Nothobranchius furzeri: one gene and its partners. The protein of the gene in region 1 interacts with the protein of each later gene in a biochemical or structural test. Links are inferred from orthologs where the notes say so. Each region holds a gene or a part of one and is shown in the gene's direction. Other genes may lie near its edges.

What was found.
Region 2: the proteins of peripheral plasma membrane protein CASK (region 1) and prkn form a complex in vitro, tested with the Homo sapiens proteins (2 studies listed by BioGRID and IntAct, with this or other methods). The link is inferred for Nothobranchius furzeri from reciprocal best matches to the Homo sapiens genes CASK and PRKN.
Region 3: the proteins of peripheral plasma membrane protein CASK (region 1) and f11r.1 form a complex in vitro, tested with the Homo sapiens proteins (2 studies listed by BioGRID and IntAct, with this or other methods). The link is inferred for Nothobranchius furzeri from reciprocal best matches to the Homo sapiens genes CASK and F11R.
Region 4: the proteins of peripheral plasma membrane protein CASK (region 1) and cftr interact in a test that uses a peptide from one of them, tested with the Homo sapiens proteins (2 studies listed by IntAct, with this or other methods). The link is inferred for Nothobranchius furzeri from reciprocal best matches to the Homo sapiens genes CASK and CFTR.
Region 5: the proteins of peripheral plasma membrane protein CASK (region 1) and caskin-1 interact in a biophysical measurement, tested with the Homo sapiens proteins (2 studies listed by IntAct, with this or other methods). The link is inferred for Nothobranchius furzeri from reciprocal best matches to the Homo sapiens genes CASK and CASKIN1.
Region 6: the proteins of peripheral plasma membrane protein CASK (region 1) and sdc2 form a complex in vitro, tested with the Homo sapiens proteins (2 studies listed by BioGRID and IntAct, with this or other methods). The link is inferred for Nothobranchius furzeri from reciprocal best matches to the Homo sapiens genes CASK and SDC2.

What each region holds. Positions count from the first base shown.
Region 1 is NC_091754.1:50,601,576-50,605,222, forward strand, and holds part of peripheral plasma membrane protein CASK, read left to right. Parts: intron 1-346; coding exon 347-535; intron 536-2,743; coding exon 2,744-2,822; intron 2,823-2,983; coding exon 2,984-3,069; intron 3,070-3,150; coding exon 3,151-3,219; intron 3,220-3,313; coding exon 3,314-3,382; intron 3,383-3,458; coding exon 3,459-3,494; intron 3,495-3,647. UniProt on the Homo sapiens protein: Multidomain scaffolding Mg(2+)-independent protein kinase that catalyzes the phosphotransfer from ATP to proteins such as NRXN1, and plays a role in synaptic transmembrane protein anchoring and ion channel trafficking.
Region 2 is NC_091752.1:62,532,939-62,536,585, forward strand, and holds part of prkn (E3 ubiquitin-protein ligase parkin), read left to right. Parts: intron 1-1,049; coding exon 1,050-1,133; intron 1,134-1,207; coding exon 1,208-1,323; intron 1,324-3,242; coding exon 3,243-3,379; intron 3,380-3,456; coding exon 3,457-3,518; intron 3,519-3,647. UniProt on the Homo sapiens protein: Functions within a multiprotein E3 ubiquitin ligase complex, catalyzing the covalent attachment of ubiquitin moieties onto substrate proteins. Substrates include SYT11 and VDAC1.
Region 3 is NC_091750.1:47,706,778-47,709,703, reverse strand, and holds the end of f11r.1 (F11 receptor, tandem duplicate 1), read left to right. Parts: coding exon 1-104; intron 105-193; coding exon 194-396; intron 397-501; coding exon 502-604; intron 605-760; coding exon 761-868; intron 869-993; coding exon 994-1,009; intron 1,010-1,279; coding exon 1,280-1,337; intron 1,338-1,424; coding exon 1,425-1,460; 3' UTR 1,461-2,307; downstream 2,308-2,926. UniProt on the Homo sapiens protein: Seems to play a role in epithelial tight junction formation. Appears early in primordial forms of cell junctions and recruits PARD3.
Region 4 is NC_091744.1:52,968,840-52,973,020, forward strand, and holds the start of cftr (cystic fibrosis transmembrane conductance regulator), read left to right. Parts: upstream 1-1,241; 5' UTR 1,242-1,376; coding exon 1,377-1,429; intron 1,430-4,181. UniProt on the Homo sapiens protein: Epithelial ion channel that plays an important role in the regulation of epithelial ion and water transport and fluid homeostasis. Mediates the transport of chloride ions across the cell membrane.
Region 5 is NC_091744.1:16,381,691-16,385,337, reverse strand, and holds part of caskin-1, read left to right. Parts: intron 1-717; coding exon 718-863; intron 864-1,306; coding exon 1,307-1,402; intron 1,403-1,830; coding exon 1,831-1,952; intron 1,953-2,896; coding exon 2,897-3,005; intron 3,006-3,132; coding exon 3,133-3,241; intron 3,242-3,381; coding exon 3,382-3,476; intron 3,477-3,647.
Region 6 is NC_091759.1:26,347,733-26,351,379, reverse strand, and holds the end of sdc2 (syndecan-2), read left to right. Parts: intron 1-2,759; coding exon 2,760-2,923; 3' UTR 2,924-3,155; downstream 3,156-3,647. UniProt on the Homo sapiens protein: Cell surface proteoglycan which regulates dendritic arbor morphogenesis.

The sequences.
Region 1 (3,647 bases):
TACACTTACAAGATCATTAATAAATAGTATGAACAGTTTAGGTCCAAGGACCGACCCTTGTGGCACACCATAATTAATCTCCCGCAACTTCTGTATGAGGGCCATAGTTTAGTACAAGAAAAAGGCCCCAAAACAAACGCCAAATTCTAGTTTAGCTTCCTTTGTAGGAGACAGTAACTTTCCCAGGAATACTGCCCTGCAGGCCATGTTCTAAAATCTGTTCATTATACGTGCTCTCATTTTTTCAGACCAACAATGAAACATTTCACTCAGCTGACTTTAAACAAAGCGTTGCTTTAGTGTTAGATGTTTGCATGTTTAAATATGTTTGTCTTTGGACATCCAGGCTCTACTGCAGACCCACGATGTTGTGGCCCACGAGGTGTACAGCGACGAGGCGCTGAGGGTGACCCCTCCACCGACTTCACCGTACCTGAACGGAGACTCTCCAGACAGCACCAACGGAGACATGGACCTGGAGAACGTGACCAGGGTTCGGCTGGTCCAGTTTCAGAAGAACACCGACGAGCCAATGGTGTGTGAGCATTGTTGCTAGGCAGTTTTTTTTTAAAACTTTGGTCAAAAAGGATTTCACAAACTGTCTTTAAAGAGCAAGTCAACCCCTACCAGAGTCTGACTCCACTCTCACTTCATGTAAAAAAAAAAGCAACAAATGCTGTTACCTGGCAGACCGAGAAGGCGGAGCTGCTAAAGGTTGGTTTATGCTTGACACGTCCGCGAGGTCCGCACGGCTCCGCGAGGAAAAGTTGCGTCATCTTAACAACCACGCCTTCGCACGGCCCAAAATTTCCGCAACGCGCACCTAGGAAATATTCTAACCACGCGGACGGTCGGACGAGGAAAAACATGGCGGACCGGCAAGAACTAGTATGGCAGATATTTGTATGATTCAGCTCTCAAAGATCACCGTGATCAACATGTTGTTAATAATTCTTGGAGAGAAATAGCTCGCACTGTCGGAAAAGATGAGGACGCTGTTAAAAAATGCTGGAATGCCATGTTGTAAACAGTAATTTTTACTTCTACTATGGTGTAGTGTTGGATGCATGCCGTAGAGCTCCATGCTGCCCCCTACAGTTTGGGAGAATATTGGCTCACCGCAGAGACGAGCCGCATGAACCATAAACGCTGCAAGTTGTGAAGCGCGTTCCATCCGCGAGCCGCATCACCAAGCGGAAAGTAAATGTGTCAAGCATAAACCAAGCTTAACAAATACACACACACACACAGGCTCATGACAGCATTGTGACATCATAATGTACCAGTTTACGTCATAGCATACCTCTTAGCTAATAGCGGTGGCAGATTTAAATTAAAACACAGTGCAGAGTTTTTACCTGACAATGGCACAACACTGCCAGTTTTAGGCAGAATATTTAAATTTTAACTAAGATGCACTGAAGTGCCAAATTATTGACGACACGTGTCTGCAGCACGATTAGTCACTTGTTTATTTAGTTTAACAGCCAAAAAAAGTTTATTTGGGGGTGACTTGCTCTTTAAAGCAAGGTCAGTGATGCATTTGAATGTCAATTTTATAAAAGTACATAAAACAGTAAAAAAAAACCTACTTAGTACTTTAGAGTAGTATCACTTATAAGCTTTAAAGCTTGTGTAGCTTGGTCCAAAATATTTACACAATATAAACCGAAGTGTTTGCGTGTAGAAATGGCCCTTTTCCACGTGCGCCTACTCAGCGCGGCTAGACTCAACTACGTGGTTTGGGTGGTTTTCCATTACGGATGAGAAATGGCTGGGTTTGTAATAGCAGGCCATCGATCACATGACACAAAAACACAACAGTGGCAGACATGTTGTGGTGGTGAACATTTGGTTTAGTTGGTGATTTTTGTTAGCCCCCCCCCCCCCCCCCGAAAAACTACAGGAAGCAAGACGAAACACTCTGGGGCAACTGGCAACTCCACCCGTTAGCCAATCAGTGGCCAGCAGTCTGACGCTGCGTTTTTGGCCTTGCTTTGTGCGCTTGGAACCTCATCAAAGCTGGTACTAAAAAAGAGACGGTGACCTGGTACCTGTTATTAGTGGAAAAGGGTCAAAAGTGAGCTGTGCCCAGCTTTGCAGTACCAGATGAATACTGTAAACTGTTGCTACATTCAGTTCAATTCAAAAATAATATGTTAATCCCAGAGGGAAATTGATTGCTGTAGTAGCTCAGAATAATAATAATAATCAAGTCATTAAAGAGTTATTGTATATTACAATAGCTGTTGGCAGGAAGGATCTCCAGTAGCGGTCAGTGTTGCAGCCAAACTGAAGAAGCCTCTGACTGAAGACACTCTTCCGTTGTCGGACAGTCTTGTGAAGAGAATGCTCAGGGTTGTCCATCATTTTCTTGATTCTCTGGAGAATCCTTCTTTGCATGATCTCCTCCAGCGGTTCCACAGTCGTCCCCAGAACAGAACCAGCCTTTTTATCAGGCTGTTGAGCCTTTTCAGGTCCCTGCTTCTGATGCTGCTACCCCAACAGACGATGGCTGGAGAGATTACACTCTCAACAACAGACTTGTAGAAGATCTGCAGCATCTTGCTACAGACATTGAAGGACCTAAGCGTCCTCAAGAAGTGCAGTCTGCTGTGTCCCTTCTTGTAAACGGCTGCAGTTCTTGTAAACATTACAGCAGTGTTAGCTGATGCTTTGATCTAAAGACTGTTTTATTATGATACCTTGTAATTGATTACATCTGTCCCACTCTCTGTTCTAGGGCATTACTCTAAAAATGAATGACCTCAACCACTGTATTGTGGCTCGCATCATGCATGGTGGAATGATTCATCGACAAGGTATAAAGTATAACTGTACAAATCTCACTAGCAGCAGAATTCTTTTTGAATGTGCTTTTATTTTGAAAGAGCTTACATTTAACTATTATTTTTCTTGGCCCCTGCTCTCTGAAGCGTTGATGCATTAGCACTTTAATTACTTCACTGTTTCCCCGCCTCAGGGACTCTGCATGTTGGAGATGAGATCCGAGAGATCAACGGCATCAGTGTAGCGAATCAGACGGTAGAACAGCTCCAGAGGATGCTGGTTTGTCACACTAGTCTGACTTTTTTTACGCAGTCTGATAGAAAACAGACGGAATAAGTGTTGCCACCATTGTCTCCACAGAGGGAGATGAGGGGGAGCATCACTTTTAAGATCGTGCCCAGTTACCGGTCCCAATCCATGTCCTGTGAGGTAAAAAAAACCTCCACATGAACTCACACACATACTCATTTGTTCCTGTTGCATTTAGAGTGAAATATACTTTTATTTTGAAAACCTGCTGCAGAAAGAGTCTCCGGATCTGTCTCGCCAGTCGCCTGCAAATGGTCACGCTAGTGTGACCAGCTCCATCCTGGTATGTGCGTGTATTCACATCCACCTTTTACACACGGTGTTTTTACATGCTGCCATAAACTCGTGTCCTCCACCAGGACCTGCCGGCGACGATCCAACCCAAGGGCCGTCAGGTGAGATCTAGTCATTCGTGACGTCCGCGTTCCCGTTCCTTCACTTTCGTCCTCTGATTCGTCACGTTTCTCCTCCCAAAAACTGATGGATTCCTTCCCAATGATCAAAACAATCCTTCACACAGACAGAAGTGTAAAGTGTAGCGTCCCCCG
Region 2 (3,647 bases), on another chromosome or scaffold:
GACTTTTATCATTCTCGTACAGTGACCTTGAGTTCCCTGAAAGGCGCTTTAAATAAAATGTATTATTATCATTATTACTATTATTGTCATTAAAACCCTAATGTACTCATCAGCCTTTGAATGAATTGTTTCTTATGCTGCATCGTCTCCACTGTAATCTGGGATGTAATTGTTCAACCTTTATTCTGCCTTTTCCTTTTAGCTCTAAATTATAATTTTATCTGTGTATATTTTAATTTGTGTTCTCCTGTTTATGTCGTCGTGCCATTTCATGCTAATTATAAAGCACATTTAATTGCCCTGTGTTTGAAATGTGCTCTACAAATACAGCTGCCTTGCTTTGCCTTGTCTTGCCTTTACAATAATGAATGATTCAAAAATAACAGTTTGATCTTGAAATGCCTTATTTCAGATCTTAAATACACCAAATGAGTCTACTTGATGATTTAATAATGATTTCGTAATTAGACTCATTTGGTGTATTTAAGATCTGAAATAAAGCATTTCAAGAATAAACATTCATGCTGATTCATTCATTACTGTAAAGCAGTCGAGACATTATTAAATCACTTTAGATAAAACATTCATTGTAGATGAAATGGAATATAATATATAATATAATCAACCCGTAAAGTGAAGTAAATAATTTTATGAGACTGAGTAAGATTCTTTATTAAAGTTATAAAAGAGTCTCGTCTTGTGCCTGCAGATACTGAAACAGGTTGTCATGGCTTCGACCTCTTGGTGGCAAGGTCACAAACAATGTTTTCTGGTTTGGAGACCAAACAGTTAACCTGTGGCACACTGATGTAGCAGGCTGTGGACATTGTCTTAACCTTTGTATTCCAACTTTCTCCAACTCTACAGAGGATTATTACCAGTACTACATGTGTAGCATAGTTAGTATTACCAATACTACATGTGCAGTTTACCAGAGGATTACCAGTACTGCACTTGTAGTACAGATGAGTATTACCAGCACTACATGTGTAGTACAGAGATGTGTTATCAGTGGTGGTGGTGTTACTCTCCTGTCCTCTTTTTTTCAGGGTCCATCCTGCTGGGACGATGTCCTTCTTCCAGGAAGAATCCATGGCCTCTGTCAGGCCGACGGTTGTCATGGTAACACAGCGGTAAGGGGTGGAGCTTAATCAATGTTTAATTGAGAACTGACTGAACCTTACTCTCACTGGGAAATTGGGTTCAGGAATTCTACATGAAATGTGCGTCTCACCCAACATCAGAGGATGACACGTCTGTGACCCTTGACCTCATTATGATGAATATCAGAAACGTCCCATGCATCGCCTGTACCGACATAACGTAAAACACACACACACACACACACACACACACACACACACACACACACACACACACACACACACACACACACACACACACACACCAAACAAACTTTCCATTCCTGGCACTTTGCTACCAGGACTGTAGTTACTTCTGCTACTCCCCTACAATAACCCCCACCCCCCACCCCAACACACGTTTGAAACATTCAGGCACACACACCCTGCAGGCATGATTCTCGTCCCTGCATGGTTAAAGTTCACGTTAATGCACATGGAAATGAAGATTAACTAGAGGTAGAGGAGCAATGAATGTGTTTGACCTTCTATCATCGGGGCAACATGCCAGTGCCCAGTGTTTGGCAGCATTACGTCACGCTGCGAGAAGGGGGGAGGTTAGGAGCCAAGATGCAGAACCAGGGAGACACGAGGCAGGAGGTGGAATAAACATAAAAAAAAAACCTTTATTAGGAGTGATTGTCCCAAAGTGAATCCAATAGTGCAAGAAGCCGAAACCAAAAATCCAAAAATCTTAGTATGAAAGCCAAGAGACCTAGAGACAAAGTGACCCCTTAAAGAGCAGACCTGGAGATATCCAAAAACCAAGAGATTGCCAAAAATCCTAGAGACCGGGGGGGGGGGGGGGGGGGGGGGGGCAAGACGACGCTGACACAAACAATGGACCGACAAACACAGAAAGACAGGACAGGGTTTTATACTCAGGGGCTGGGTGATTAGGAGGATTGGGTACAGGTGATATTAATAAACAAGAGGAGGAGCAGAATAGGGCAGGTGAGGAAAGCCCCAACTAAGGCCCTGTCCACACGTAGCCGGGGATCTGCCAAAATGTAGATATTTTCCTACGTTTTGGCCTGTCATCCACACGAAAACGGATCTTTTTAAAAACTCCGGCCAAAGTGAAGATCTGCGTTTTCTCCGTTTTGGGTGTCGGCGTGTGAACAGACAAAACCGGAGTTTTAAGGTCCGCAACGTCACTTTCCGCAACAAAAAAATGCTGACATCACGTGTGCGACCTGTGTTTACACTAGCCGACAGCATGGATGCCCTCAGAGCTGCGCTCGCTTTATCAATTGTCCAAGCGCTTTCTGCTTGTTTGTTTTTGCAAGCGGAATTACTGCTCCTTGCGGAAGACCACAGACGAAGGACGAGGTTAAGAACGGGGGAAGTACTGCCACCTACAGGTCTGGCATGTCCCTAACAACGTATTTATCTGGGTACGTGTGGACAGTTTTTTTAAACGAGGTGGTGTGGATGCACGTTTTGGAGGGGTGGATATTCGTTTTCAAAAAAACCCCGGCTACGTGTGGACTAGGTCTTAAACCTGTTAAACAAAGCTACTGAACTAAATAACTTAACACTGTAGAAATAAGACACTGGAGAACTAAAGATAATAAAATTAATGACCTAGGAGTAATAGAACCAAAAACACTGGAAGACAGGGGAGGATGATGCCTAAAGGGAGAAACGAACTAGACAATCTACAATAACAGAAAACTAATGATAAGAAAAGTGACTAAGGGAAACATGAGGGAAACCTGGAGAGAACCTGGAGGGGGCTGGGGACCACAGGGAGGCACCTGAGGGGGGATGCAGACAAGGAGACACACGAGGAACACAAGGAGACACATAAGGGGAACCTAGAGAGGGATGGAGAATGCAAGGAGACACTTGAGGGAGACGCAGAATGCAGACCATGACACATTAATGCGTTAGCGTAGCACCACACAGAGCACATATTAGACTCAACCCATACTTATATTTCATCAGATCTTGCCTTTCTTAATATTATGGTAAACCTATTTGGATTAACATGGAATAAACACCCTGTCATTATAAATGAATGCAGAACGCCTGAGAAAGGGTGCGTCTGAAGCATGTGGGGCTCTAACCACCACCATGTCCCTGGTGTTGTCTCAGGGAGGTGGTCCTGGTCTTCCAGTGTGCAGCGCGCCATGTGATCTGTCTGGACTGTTTCTGCCGCTACTGTCAGACTCGCCTGAATGAGCGACAGTTTGTGTATCACTCTGTGATTGGGTATTCTCTTCCATGTGCAGGTGAGGGAATGGAGACTCGGGTGACGATGTGAACAGGTATGAATGGGACCGTAACGGTATGATCTTTGTGTTTCCAGCTGGCTGTGAGGACTCTCTGGTAAAAGAGTTGCATCATTTCAGGATTCTGGGAGATGAACAGGTGACGTACCGTCACACAGGATGTGGGTGCTTGGTTCAGACACTGTGTAGCATGATGTGTCCATGTAAACTACACACTTAGAAGGAATGGGTTTTATATAGCACTTCTTTCTGAAAGAGCCCCATAGTA
Region 3 (2,926 bases), on another chromosome or scaffold:
GAGATTCTCCAAAGTGACTCGTGAGGACACTGGAGTGTACACCTGTGAGGCGTCCAGCTCCACTAGTGGATTACAGAAAGCCACTGTAAAGCTGACGGTATTGGGTGAGTATGTGGACACCACTTGCACTGATGTTCAGACTGATCTTACACATAATGGGTCCACATAATAACCCCTCCATCGTGTTTCACAGTGCCACCATCTGTACCCATATGTGGAGTCCCCGATTCGGTGACGACGGGTAAATCTGCCACCCTGACCTGTTTTGACCCCGCTGCTTCACCCCCTCCCACATACAGGTGGTACAAAGATGGGACCCTCCTGCCCAGTGACCCCAGCAAGTTTGCTGGTTTCCAAAATGCCACCTACAAACTGGACCCAGCAACTGGGAAACTGGTCAGCTTTGCATCGTAATATTGTCTAAAACCTTTACAGCTTAAGTTTTAGAAAAACTTTTAAGAAACTTGATCAATACACCAAAACTGTGTCACGTTGCTGCAGGATTTTCCTTCTGCTGCCAAGATGGATTCAGGTCAGTACTACTGTGAGGTCTCCAACGAAGCTGGCCCAACTCAGAAATGTCAAGCACGGAGAATGGAAGTCCGTAAGTAGCATCATTTGTTTTCTCTTTTACCAGAGTTGGTACAAATGGTTTCTAACTCAGATGACTTAAACGTAAAACATTAATGTGGTAATGTTAAATTTATTGATTTAGAATAGATTTTATTAATCTAATGACTCCCGTTGTGATTTCTTCAAGGTGACTTGAACACTGGAGGAATTGTTGCAGGGGTAATAATTTTTCTGCTGCTTCTGGGCCTCGTGATATTTGGTGTTTGGTATGCCAAGAAGAAAGGCTATCTGCCCAGTAAGTTTTCTGCATTGCATCACAAACATTCATGAGTATACATAGTCGAAATTTGACTGAAAGTTGTATGTTTAATGTTAGGCACCATTAATTTTAACGTGCTCCTGTTTCTTTTCTTTCCATAGCAGCAAAGACTGAAGGGTAAGACGTTTTTATATCGAGGATATTTGATATGTAAACTTTTTAAAATACTGATTTACAGATTTATTTACTAATAATATCAATGTTTGATTGTACACATTCTTGGGTCATTAGGAGTGGTATGTGTATATATATCTATATATATACACACACACACACACACACACACACACACACACACACACACACACACACACACACACACACACACACACACACACACACACACACACACACACACACTTATTATTTATTTGTTTGTCCCCACAGTAAACACAGGATGGATGCAGTCTACCAGCCCACATCACATGGTGGGGATGATGATAACGTGAGTATTTTAATGTATTTTTAATATTTTAATTGGAGTGTATGTTTGAAAAGGTCAAAGATGTCTGAGACTTGTTTTGTTTCACAGGGGGAATTCAAACAGAAGTCGTCATTTGTGGTGTAATCAACAGTCCGCTTACAGACTTGAACTTCCCTGTTTATTGTGATTTTTATAGTTTTTTTGAGTGCTGTTTCTATACATATGAGTGATGTGCTTTCAGAGTGACAATTGATTCAGATAATCTGCAGATTAAATACTTTTAATAAGAAATAAGGGAGTCTGTTTTTTTACATTTGTCGTGTTGGGCTGAAGCAGCTGCCCAGTGCGTTTCTACTTATGGAGTTATTATTATTTTGTTTAATCTAAATTCTGTATATCCAAGGTAATTGTTTACTATGAAGAAGAGAGAACAAAACCTCCTAGGACTATATAACAAATGCTGCTAATTAAAATACCTTCTCGAGTAGTTGTGCACCAACCAAGAAATACATTATCTGCAGTTATAACCTTACTTTAATATTTATAACTGCAGTTTAGCTTAAATGTTAAACTGATGTGGCTCAGCTCTGTTGGGGTGTTCGTTTTTCTCTGATGCATTGTACAAATTAGTTCTATTGAAGGGTTATTTTTGTAAATAAAGCTGCGTTCACTTAGAAAATTATTAGACTTGGTTGTCTCAGCGCTTTTGATGTTGATAAAACATTATATGATATTGTAATGTTTTTATTTTTTTACATTTTGTGCATACAAATTGTGTCACTTTTTTGATTTGCGTAACATCTTGTTGAATGCAATATGAAATCTTTTACTTTTTAAATAGACAATGAAATTCACAAATTTAAAAGCATGAATATTTGTGCAAAAACGTGGGTTGTGTGTTTTTTAGGGATCAGATAGAATAGACATTTATATGAACTCGGTAGTTGTAGTTTCCAAACTCAGAAATGTTTTTATACACATTTTTTTAAAAGTAATTTGGTTGTAATGATTTCAACTGATGTGAAAATACACTAACAATATTTGAAAACTGCTTTTGTCATTTCTTTTGTAAACAGGGTATACTCCATTAATAAAAATAGGTCTTTTGTGTCAATCTCAAAATTCACATAATTGATTTCATCATCTGCATGATTTTGATGTACAGAAGTTCATGTTGTGTCTCCATTAAAATTCAATCTGTAGTTTGTGTGCTGCTTGTCTTACACATATTTACACATTTTTTATAATTGAAATACAAAATGAAAAATAAATTAGCATGGCTAACACCATTATGAATTAACACAAACATATTTCAGTTTGAGTCTTGATTTTAAATACAACCCAATTTAAAGACATTGAAGTTCAAAATAATGATTTATGGTATTTTGTAGGCTATGAGAAAATAAATATGCTAAAAGCTTTCTGTATTGGCTAGTGTTGCGTTGCTGTGGTAACGTGATGGCGTGCAACTTCCCCTCCTGAAAGGTGCGCATGCGTATAGGATCGACATCCTATTACGCAAACAGGAAGTGTGAGCAACATTTTCCACCATTCAACCCTTACACAGGATTTATCCTCAAAATGCCCAAACTAATCCTAATACTTGTTCG
Region 4 (4,181 bases), on another chromosome or scaffold:
CCCGTAAACCATCCTACTGTAGTTGATGAGCATGTGCGCGCATGCGCACAACACAAAAAGGGAACGCTACTCCGCTGTCATATTTGCAAGAAAATAGATTAGTAAGTATTAGTACTTTTTATTGATGTTGATACTTGATTTTTTTGGGTAAGAATTAGGGTTATGGTTAGGGTTTGTGTCATGTAAAACACCGTAAAATTATCCTACGGATAGGACATTTTGCCAAAGTCGGACGTTTTCTCAGAACACCCGGAAGTAAGATGGACAGAGCGGGGCTTAACCTATGGGCTTAACGCATGGGAGCAAAGTGAGAGACCACGCCCAAATTTAATTTAGCTTCAAGTGAAACAATAAAAAAAACTCCTAATATCTGCTTTCTTTTCTTGAATTGCCCAAATTTAATGTTGACACGTGCATCCAGTTCAAATTGAAAACCCGGTGTGTTTGTTCTGCTTTTGAGAATCCTGGTGTCACCGCTCCATGGATTTTGTAATCTTATTTCCAGTGAATGTTCTGGTAATTTTCTATGTATTTACGTGTAAAGTACATAATATTTAAATAGTTTGGGTTCACCTGCAGAGGTCTTCATTTCAGTAATCAAAAGGGATCAGAAGATGAGCAGGTGGCTGGTACAGTCTGTGTCCAGGAGAGGGCGCCCTTTTCTCTTTCCTCAGCCTCGTTCGTGTTTGAGGATGTTAAAACACCTGATGCTATGTGTGATCTCCTTCTTTAAAGCAAACTTAAGTTCATGACTTACTTTAACATGCAGGTTTTTATTACGCTGCTTAAGACACGTTTTCACCTTTCTGAAAGTCACAGCTTTAGTTGCTTTTGTTAAAAGTCCTTGTTTCTGACTTACACACGTCAGCTTTCTGTGTGTTTGTGATAGCACTGAGTGTGTGTATCCATGTGTTTATGTCCTCCCAGAACTCCGGTAGAGTTCACCTGATGAATGACTGTGTGATGTCCACTAAAAAAGCCAATTTGCTGCATTTTATCAGTGTTCCCTGCAGGAATGTCTAGAGGTGTTTTGATCTTCCCTCTCCTGAAACTGTGCGTAACGAGAAGCTGATAAAAAGTTTCAGGTTGGATGTCCCAGAATCGTTTCTGCTAGACTCACAGGAGAGGAGCAGCTTTGGCGACTTGGCCAATAAAGAAGCGCGGACAACCCTCTCACACGGAGTGAAGAGGCAGCGCAACAGGAGCGGACCTGGAGCCGCCACCCCCCACCCACCCACACACACACCAACACCATCCTCTGGGGTGGAGAGGAGGATAAAGGCCGAACCCTCCCCGGAGCGCCAGGAGGACACACCGATGAGAGCGGCGCAGGGACCCTCGGCTGCACACGGATCAAAACTGGCGGCGCTTTTAGGATGCAAAAGTCACCGGTGGAAGATGCAAACTTCCTCTCCAAGTTTGTCTTTTGGTAAGGCTGTTAGACCGTTTCTGACTAACACCTGGACACGTGCTGAAGCTTTCCAAAACAAGTTCTGCTGCCGGTGCGTAAATGCGGTTGGACTGGCGCGCTCCAGTGCGCAGGTTGTTTTAGGGTCTTATGGTCATCATAAAACAGGGATTTGATTTGTGGTGATTAATCTGGATTGTTCAAACAGAAAGCCTCCGATAAGAAACAATTAACATCTTTGTTCTTGTTTGGAGAGAAAGAGATCAGTTTTGACCCAAACTGCAACAGCTAATAGCTACCTCAAGACTTCCACAGCAGTTACAAATGCAATTATACCTTCCCATGTGCAAAATTGTCACGTTTCATGGTGATTCCAGTAGAAATGTGATGAGATTTCAGCCAGAATAAAACTGAAGTTGTCTTAACCAATTCCTGCTGCAAATTACAGAAAGCAAAAAAAGCACGTGAAGCTGCGTTTGTGCTGATGTATTCTTAAGCAACACTTGCTTGAGATCTGAAGGTGGCAGGAGCATCTCTGGTCAGAACTCATCTCTGCTTCTCCAAACTGGGTGTTTTTATTACATCATCAACTTCTGGTAAGATATTACTGGTTAATGACAGTTTCAGAAAACGCACTAAAATGTCCTTTTGTGATTTCCAGGCACGAACCATGACACCATTCTTATTTTATAGTTTTATTCATATTTTGACAAAAAAAAAGAAAAAGTAAAAAAAAATTCACCTTTTGAAACAAACTTGTCAGAGTTGTTAACCATTTCTTGTTCTTTTCTTACACAGTGTTAGTAAAAAGATTTTCAGGGTTGTAAACGTCTGCTCCAATCAGCACGCATTCCAATCCTGAAGTATTTAATCAACAACTAAATAGTAGTTTCGTATAAAAGCAATAGTTACACTTGATTGTTGGCCACGCTCCGTATGGGTCTGCAGGTCTACCATTGGCCTGAACAATTTTAGATCTGGTCAGTCAGCGCTCTGGTTGTAGATCGATGTTGGGCACCAGAGCTGCGATGGATAAAACTACAAAGATGCCTGTTTGAAACGGCTTTGGCATCATTTTTAAACGATTTAGACTTGGGCCTTTCTTTGAGACGTGAGCAGATAGAGGTAGTTAAGTCTTTTATTTAGAAAATGGATGTATCTATTTCTTCTTCAACGACTCTGTGTGATGGACTGCCCTTTGACAAATTTATGTTGTCTTGGACGCATCATGATGTCCGTTGGTCTGATTGGTCCTTATGCTGTCCAATTGGGTGCAGACAACGTTTGAAAGACAACCGTAGATCCTGCCCCATGACTGAGCTCTGTCTATGGGTCGTGGCCAGACTATAGGATGACAGCCCAGGCTACTGATTTACTATAATATTAGTTCAGCTGAGGTCAGTCCCTCCACTTGACTAATATCAGACCAGTAGAACTAACAATCACTCTAACAGAACCTTCCTGACAGCATGAAATAGGCAAAAAGATCTCAAAAAGCAACACATCAACACACTCAAGAACTAAAGGACCTAACTCAGCTAATGAGAACTGGCCCACTTCCAAGTCCAAAACCTCTGTTCACCCAGAAACAACACAGCCATCTCCAAAAAACATTTTGGGATCAAATTCTTCTAGAAAAGTGTTCTGGGGACTGAAGAGACAAAAGTAGAACTTATTGGAAGGTATGTGTCCTGTTCCACATGAATGTGACTTCTCTTCTTACATTCTGAGACCCTCATCACCACAATGTTGCACAAAAAACAAAGTTTTTCTGACATTTTGCTTGAATTCATTTTGTGTTTGAATCAGTTACGGTAATTGCCTGTTTACTTGTCTTAGTGCGCGGACATGTGGTCAGTTAGAGAGCTTGGGGAGACATGAACACATGAAAGCTTTGCCTGTAATTCTCAGCTGTGGGTCAATGATGAGAAACCACACACAAACACACTCACAGGTCCTTATGTTTGCTCCATACACAGGACTGATGTGTTCCATCTTCTTGGGACTACAGATTGAATCAAAGCTTCCTTCCCTTTCACTGAGAACCATCCCTCCTACAGCACTTTATTACAGCTGCTTCTGTCATTATTCACCTCAGAAATAGCTCGTTACAGCACATTCACCTTAAAGCTTTTACTTTTGTTTGCCAGAGACTTTCTCTCACCACATCATTAAATCTGATTTAACCGTGTCTAGTATGAAGTGGGGTTGTTATATAGTTGTTGTCACTGAGACATTCCTCAGCTTCCTTTTTATTTAAAGGGACTATAAGGAATTTGAAATTTTGATGCACACGATTGCCCCCTCAGGCCCAATGCGTAACTGCAGCTTCAATAATAAGCTAGTGCAAGAGGCGTGCATGCTGTACGTGCACACTCCTGAATGAAAACAACAGCTGAGTCAGTCCTGCACCGGTGCAGTTTTCAGGTTTAGACTGTTTTACACAATTCTAATAAAGTAGACAAATAATGTACTCTGATGTATACATGCTAGACAAGCAGCCTAAAAAAATGTTCTATCATTTACAGAAGGCCCCGGCTTGCTTTGGAAACTATCAACCCTTTTACCCCATTACTATTTTATTAGTTAAAATTGTAAATTAGTATGATTAAAATGGCCCAAATTACTTTGGTGTGTAAAATAAATTCTAAAAGTATAAATAAAGTGATATTAAGGCAGATTTGGTGTGGTGATCCTAACCGTTCTTAAAGAACATACACTCACCTAAAGGATTATTAGGAACACCTGTTCAACTTCTCCTTAATGCAATTAT
Region 5 (3,647 bases), on another chromosome or scaffold:
ACACTAAGGTAGGCTGTGGTGTTGCAATGATGATCAGTCATTACTAAAAGGCTAAGTGTGCTAAGAAAATGTCCCCCACACCATTACACCACCAGCAGCAGCCTGAACTGTTGAGACAAGGCAGGATGGAGCCATGCTTTAATTCTGTTGACAGCAAATTCTGACCCTACCATCCGAATGTGGCAGCAGAAATCGAGACTCATCAGACCAGGCAACATTTCTCCAATCTTCTGTTGTCCAATTTTTGTGAATTGTAGCCTCAGTTTCCTGTTCTTAGCTGACAGGAGTGGCACTCGGTGTGGTTTTCTGCAGCTGTAGCCCATCTGCCTCAAGGTTTGACGTGTTGTGCATTCAGTGATGCTCTTCTGCATACCTTGGTTTTACCGAGTGGTTATTTGAGTTACTGTTGCCTTTCAACTCAAACCAGTCAGGCCATTCTCCTCTGATCTCTGGCATCAACAAGGAATTTTTGCTGACATAAGTAATGAGATCAATTCCCAGCACTTAGGTTTTGTAATTCAATGAAGGAAAAAATGCCTTATTGAAAAGTGACTGACTTTTAAAATAAAGTGCATTGCATCTCCATTTGTTTGTTTTTGTGTCTGTTTGCATGTGCTTGTTGGGTCGTGTATGTCCATGTTATATTGTGCTGTCATCTCTGCCTCTGTGTACGTGTTTGTCCATGTGTGTCGGTGTGTGTATGTGTGTTTTGTGTAGGAATGCGCCCTCTGCATTATGCTGCATGGCAGGGGAAGACTGAACCAATGAAAATGCTGCTGAAAGCAGGCTCGTCAGTCAACGGACAGTCAGAAGAAGGACAGATTCCTCTGCACCTGTCGGCTCAGCATGGACACTACGATGGGGTAACTGTGTGTGTGTGTGTGTGTGTGTGTGTGTGTGTGTGTGTGTGTGTGCGTGCGTGCGTGCGTGTGTGTGTGTGTGCGCGCGCGCGCGTGCGTGTGTGTGCGCATGTGTGTGTGTGTGTGTGTGTCTGTCTGCTATGCAGACCTGATGATGCAAACATGAAATACTTGTTAGGACAATCAGATGTAACCAGTGAGTTGTGTGTGTGTGTGTGTGTGTGTGTGTGTGTGTGTGTGTGTGCGTGCGTGCATGTGTGTGTGTGTGTGTGCGTGTGCGCGTGCGTGTGTGTGTGTGTGTGTGTGTGTGTCTGCTATGCAGACCTGATGATGCAAACATGAAACACTTGTTAAGACAATCAGATGTAACCAGTGAGTTGTGTGTGTGTGCGTGCGTGTGTGTGTGTGTGTGTGTGCGTGTGTGTGTGTGTGTGAATATGCTACAGTCTGAGATGCTACTACAACATCAGTCCAACCCGTGTATCTCAGATTCAGCTGGAAAGACTCCGCTGGACCTTGCTTGTGAATTTGGACGTGTTGGCGTGAGTACCTACGCACAACAGAACACTGATGTATGCTCTGGTCACTTTATTAGGTACACCTCAGAACTTAATTCTTTATTATATTCACATATTCAGCAAAGTGCCGGACCAGATGAGTTGCTACCATCTGATTGGCTGGTGAGCTATTAGGTGTAACTAAAAAAGTGGCCAGTAGATGTAAATTATGTTTTTCCCATAAAAACAAAACCTTTTAAAAATTGCACTTCCAGAACTTTCAGATGTGTGACTGGAGTGTGAGAAGCGAGGGAGGAATCTTTCAGTAAAGGCTGTTTCTACCTGTGTGTGTGTTGGTTCGGATCGATTAGTGATTTTAGTGTGTGTGTGTGTGTGTGTGTGTGTGTGTGTGTGTGTGTGTGTGTGTGTGTGTGTGTGTGTGTGTGTGTGTGTGTGTGTGTGTGTGTGTGTAGGTGGTCCAGCTTCTGCTCAGCAGCAACATGTGTGCAGCCATGCTGGAGCCAAGACCTTCTGACCCAAACGGGGTGTCACCTCTGCATCTTGCGGCTAAGAATGGACACATAGAAGTCATAAGGTCTGAAGCAGCTCTGCTCTTGTTCTGCCTCCCTCAGTCTGCTTTCACACCTCCTCATTCAGTGTGTGTGTGTGTGTGTGTGTGTGTGTTTGTGTGTGTGTGTGTGTGTGTGTGTGTGTGTGTGTGTGTGTGTGTGTGTGTGTGTGTGTGTGTGTGTGTGTGTGTGTGTGTCTTTAGACAAACCTGAGCAGTTCCCATGAAGCTTTCCTGCAACATTATTCTTTTAGATAACTTTTCTACGTTTACTTATTTTCAACAGTCCTTCTTCAGGATCCTTTTCAAATAGATGGAGACTTAATTTTAGTAAAGGTAGCTAAACAGCACTGAATCAAAGCCACACACACTATGTTGACCAGCATTTGCTACACAACACCGACTAATAAAACCAGTTCACATTAGCTTCAGCCCTGTAGCAAACTACTACTGCTGAATCTGCTGCTCCTTTATAACATTGTACAATGTTGGTGGCATAGACTTCCTCTGCTGGGGTTCATTAAACCCTTAAAAACTCCCTCGACTCCACGACTGCTTGTTCTGTCATGCTCGTCCTCTCACATATACAGCGAACACTAAAGAAACGGCCATCAAGTAGACTAAACTTGATTTTCCACCAGGGGGGTTCTTTAAATGGGGTTAAATGTCATCTTCGTGTCACATTTAACTGCAGCACAAGTTTGCTTACTTTGTTTTCTGCTCAGGCGGCTGCGCTGGATGTCTGGCACAAAAGCACAAACTGCAGCCTGCTTAATTAAGAAAATTTAATATCGAAATGTTTAAAATACAATAATAATGGTAGAAATAGAAAATTAAAACCATATTTGCTGGATTTGATTGCCCACTTTAGGGAACACGTATTTGTTTTTAGTTTGTTTGTTTTTTTGTCTTACATTGGTAGAATTAAATCATGAACACGTTCTATCAAAGATATGGTTTATATGTTGCAGGTTGTTGATTCAGGCTGGTATAGATATCAACAGACAGTCTGAGTGTGGCACAGCTCTACATCAGGCTGCCCTCTGTGGGAAGACAGAGGTAGTGCGCCTGCTGCTGGATGTAAGTGATGACCACCTCTTAAAGTCTAAAGAAGCTAAAACTCAAAGCTTATTTTTATCCTGCCTCACATGAAATGTTTTTACAGAGGCGGCAGCGTTGATCAGTTTTCTGCTCTGCTTCATTCTAGAGTGGCATCAGTGCAGGAGTGAGGAACACTCTGAGTCAAACCGCTCTGGATATCGTTAACCAGTTCACCACCACGCAGGCCAGTAGAGAGATCAAACAGCTGCTCAGAGGTGAAGCACAACAATGCACTCACACAACTCTTCTAGTTCTTGTAGAAACAGAATAAAAACAAACAGCAACAAAAAAATTCTTAATGAGAATCAGTTTATATTAGAAAGTCTTATCTTGTGTCTGCATTCTTGTTTTGTAGATGCTTCGGCTGCAATGCAGGTGCGAGCACTGAAGGATTACTGCAACAACTATGACCTTACCAGTCTGAACATCAAAGCTGGAGATATAATCACGGTACTGCCCCTAAAAAAATGAAGTAAAAAATGATGTGTGTGTGTGTGTGTGTGTCATAGGCGTCATTTTAACCAGGGACATGTCCCCGGCAAAATTTGTGATTGGCAGCTGTGTCCCCCCCACTTTCAAAAAAGCCTGCTGATGAGGATTTTTGTTTTACCAGCTCAGATC
Region 6 (3,647 bases), on another chromosome or scaffold:
CTCAGAGGGTTCAGGTGTTAGCCGGATCCTTCTCTCCTCTCTGACGGTTCAGGTGTTAGCCGGATCCTTCTCTCCTCTCAGAGGGTTCAGGTGTTAGCCGGATCCTCCTCTCCTCTCAGAGGGTTCAGGTGTTAGCCGGATCCTCCTCTCCTCTCAGAGGGTTCAGGTGTTAGCCGGATCCTCCTCTCCTCTCAGAGGGTTCAGGTGTTAGCCGGATCCTCCTCTCCTCTCAGAGGGTTCAGGTGTTAGCCGGATCCTTCTCTCCTCTCAGAGGGTTCAGGTGTTAGCCGGATCCTCCTCTCCTCTCAGAGGGTTCAGGTGTTAGCCGGATCCTCCTCTCCTCTCAGAGGGTTCAGGTGTTAGCCGGATCCTCCTCTCCTCTCAGAGGGTTCAGGTGTTAGCCGGATCCTTCTCTCCTCTCTGACGGTTCAGGTGTTAGCCGGATCCTTCTCTCCTCTCAGAGGGTTCAGGTGTTAGCCGGATCCTTCTCTCCTCTCAGAGGGTTCAGGTGTTAGCCGGATCCTCCTCTCCTCTCAGAGGGTTCAGGTGTTAGCCGGATCCTCCTCTCCTCTCTGACGGTTCAGGTGTTAGCCGGATCCTCCTCTCCTCTCAGAGGGTTCAGGTGTTAGCCAGATCCTCCTCTCCTCTCTGAGGGTTCAGGTGTTAGCCGGATCCTTCTCTCCTCTCTGACGGTTCAGGTGTTAGCCAGATCCTCCTCTCCTTTCAGAGGGTTCAGGTGTTAGCCGGATCCTTCTCTCCTCTCAGAGGGTTCAGGTGTTAGCCGGATCCTTCTCTCCTCTCAGAGGGTTCAGGTGTTAGCCGGATCCTTCTCTCCTCTCTGACGGTTCAGGTGTTAGCCGGACCCTCCTCTCCTCTCAGAGGGTTCAGGTGTTAGCCGTATCCTTCTCTCCTCTCTGACGGTTCAGGTGTTAGCCGGATCCTTCTCTCCTCTCAGAGGGTTCAGGTGTTAGCCATATCCTTCTCTCCTCTCTGACGGTTCAGGTGTTAGCCGGATCCTTCTCTCCTCTCAGAGGGTTCAGGTGTTAGCCGGACCCTCCTCTCCTCTCAGAGGGTTCAGGTGTTAGCCAGATCCTCCTCTCCTCTCTGAGGGTTCAGGTGTTAGCCAGATCCTCCTCTCCTCTCTGAGGGTTCAGGTGTTAGCCGGATCCTCCTCTCCTCTCAGAGGGTTCAGGTGTTAGCCGGATCCTCCTCTCCTCTCTGAGGGTTCAGGTGTTAGCCGTATCCTCCTCTCCTCTCAGAGGGTTCAGGTGTTAGCCAGATCCTCCTCTCCTCTCTGAGGGTTCAGGTGTTAGCCGGATCCTTCTCTCCTCTCTGACGGTTCAGGTGTTAGCCGTATCCTCCTCTCCTCTCAGAGGGTTCAGGTGTTAGCCGTATCCTCCTCTCCTCTCAGAGGGTTCAGGTGTTAGCCGGATCCTCCTCTCCTCTCTGACGGTTCAGGTGTTAGCCGGATCCTTCTCTCCTTTCAGAGGGTTCAGGTGTTAGCCAGATCCTCCTCTCCTCTCTGAGGGTTCAGGTGTTAGCCGTATCCTTCTCTCCTCTCTGACGGTTCAGGTGTTAGCCAGATCCTCCTCTCCTTTCAGAGGGTTCAGGTGTTAGCCGGATCCTTCTCTCCTCTCAGAGGGTTCAGGTGTTAGCCGGATCCTTCTCTCCTCTCAGAGGGTTCAGGTGTTAGCCGGATCCTTCTCTCCTCTCTGACGGTTCAGGTGTTAGCCGGACCCTCCTCTCCTCTCAGAGGGTTCAGGTGTTAGCCGTATCCTTCTCTCCTCTCTGACGGTTCAGGTGTTAGCCGGATCCTTCTCTCCTCTCAGAGGGTTCAGGTGTTAGCCATATCCTTCTCTCCTCTCTGACGGTTCAGGTGTTAGCCGGATCCTTCTCTCCTCTCAGAGGGTTCAGGTGTTAGCCGGATCCTTCTCTCCTCTCAGAGGGTTCAGGTGTTAGCCATATCCTTCTCTCCTCTCTGACGGTTCAGGTGTTAGCCGGATCCTTCTCTCCTCTCAGAGGGTTCAGGTGTTAGCCGGATCCTTCTCTCCTCTCTGACGGTTCAGGTGTTAGCCGGACCCTCCTCTCCTCTCAGAGGGTTCAGGTGTTAGCCGGATCCTTCTCTCCTCTCAGAGGGTTCAGGTGTTAGCCGGATCCTACTTTGGGTTTTGTGGGTTGCTGAGGGTATTCCTGACGTGTACCGTTACTATGGGAACGTGACAGAGGTTCTTTCTCTGTCCGTGCGCCCCAGGGCAGCTGTGGCTACATCGTAGCTCATCACCATCAGTGTGTGAATGGATGAATGATACGCTGTAGTGTTGTAGAGTGGCGCTATACAAGTATTTCTGCTGGAGTAGACCAGAACCCTGACTGGGACATTTGAGGTTCTGGTGTGGTGAACGTTTGGGATTAGGCTCGTTCTCCTGATCCGTGTCCGACTCACAGGGATGAGGAGAATCGCTGTCACGCATTCTGGGAGCGTTGCGTTACTGATGGAGCTGCACAGCTGGGGCTTGTGGAAGGGAGGCCGCCCGTAGCCAGTCGGAGACTACGGTACGGAGGACAGATTAAGGAGCTGCACAGAAGCTTATGGAGGCCACGTGGGGCGTAGGCGTGTCTGATGTCATAGTTTACCTGTCGCCACCTTCACCTGTCAGATCAACAGAGTCCTCCTCATGTCCCAGCTGGGGGTGGAGATGTGGGACGGGGACGTGACGTGTTTGTTGGACCGTCCGTGACTGTCTGTCTCTGTCTCTCAGCTGTTATTGCAGGCGGCGTGATCGGCTTCCTGTTCGCCATCTTCCTCATCCTCCTGCTGGTCTACCGAATGAGGAAGAAGGACGAAGGCAGCTACGACCTGGGAGAGCGGAAACCCTCCGGAGCAGCCTATCAGAAAGCTCCAACCAAGGAGTTTTATGCGTAGCGTCTGGAACCGGATGGAGCGCCGGTCGGACTCTGGGTCTGACACACGGAATGACGTGTTGACTTGACTGACGCGGCTCAGAGGGAATGTTCTAGATTGCTGTAATTCCAACCTTTTGTCTTTGTGAGCAGAGTTGTGTTGATGGAGTCGCTGCCGTCCGACACCGAACCTCGAGTCTAGCAGCTGCTCTCCCGACAACTAAACCGGAGCGTTTGATTAGAATTCCTCAGACTGAAAGTTCCCGGTCCTAGCACAAGTTAATGTGTCACAACGATGCGGGAGGACGCGCCGGTCTCCATGGTAACACTGATAATGTCTCACGGAAACCCTCCTGCTCTCACTTGGCTTATTCCATTTCCTCGGACTGTAAATCAGACGCGAGTCTTTCCCGCTTCATCCGTGTGAGATGGAAAACCACACCCACACACCCACACACACACACACACACACACACACACACACACACGCACACGCACACGCACACACACACAGAGCACTTTGACCAGAACCAGAACCAGTTGGGCCCATGTTCTGCCTTCCCCTGCTGTTCACTAACAGGAAGTAGATTCCTGCCAGGATACCCCCCCCCCCCCCCCCCCCCCCGTGGCCACACTGTTGTTCCTCCACCTCGAGTCTTTTAAATTTTGTGTGTAAAGTTCTATAAAAGTTTATTCTCACTCGTCTGAAACCTTCCAAGTGCCTAACTGTGGACGTGTCCCTGCTC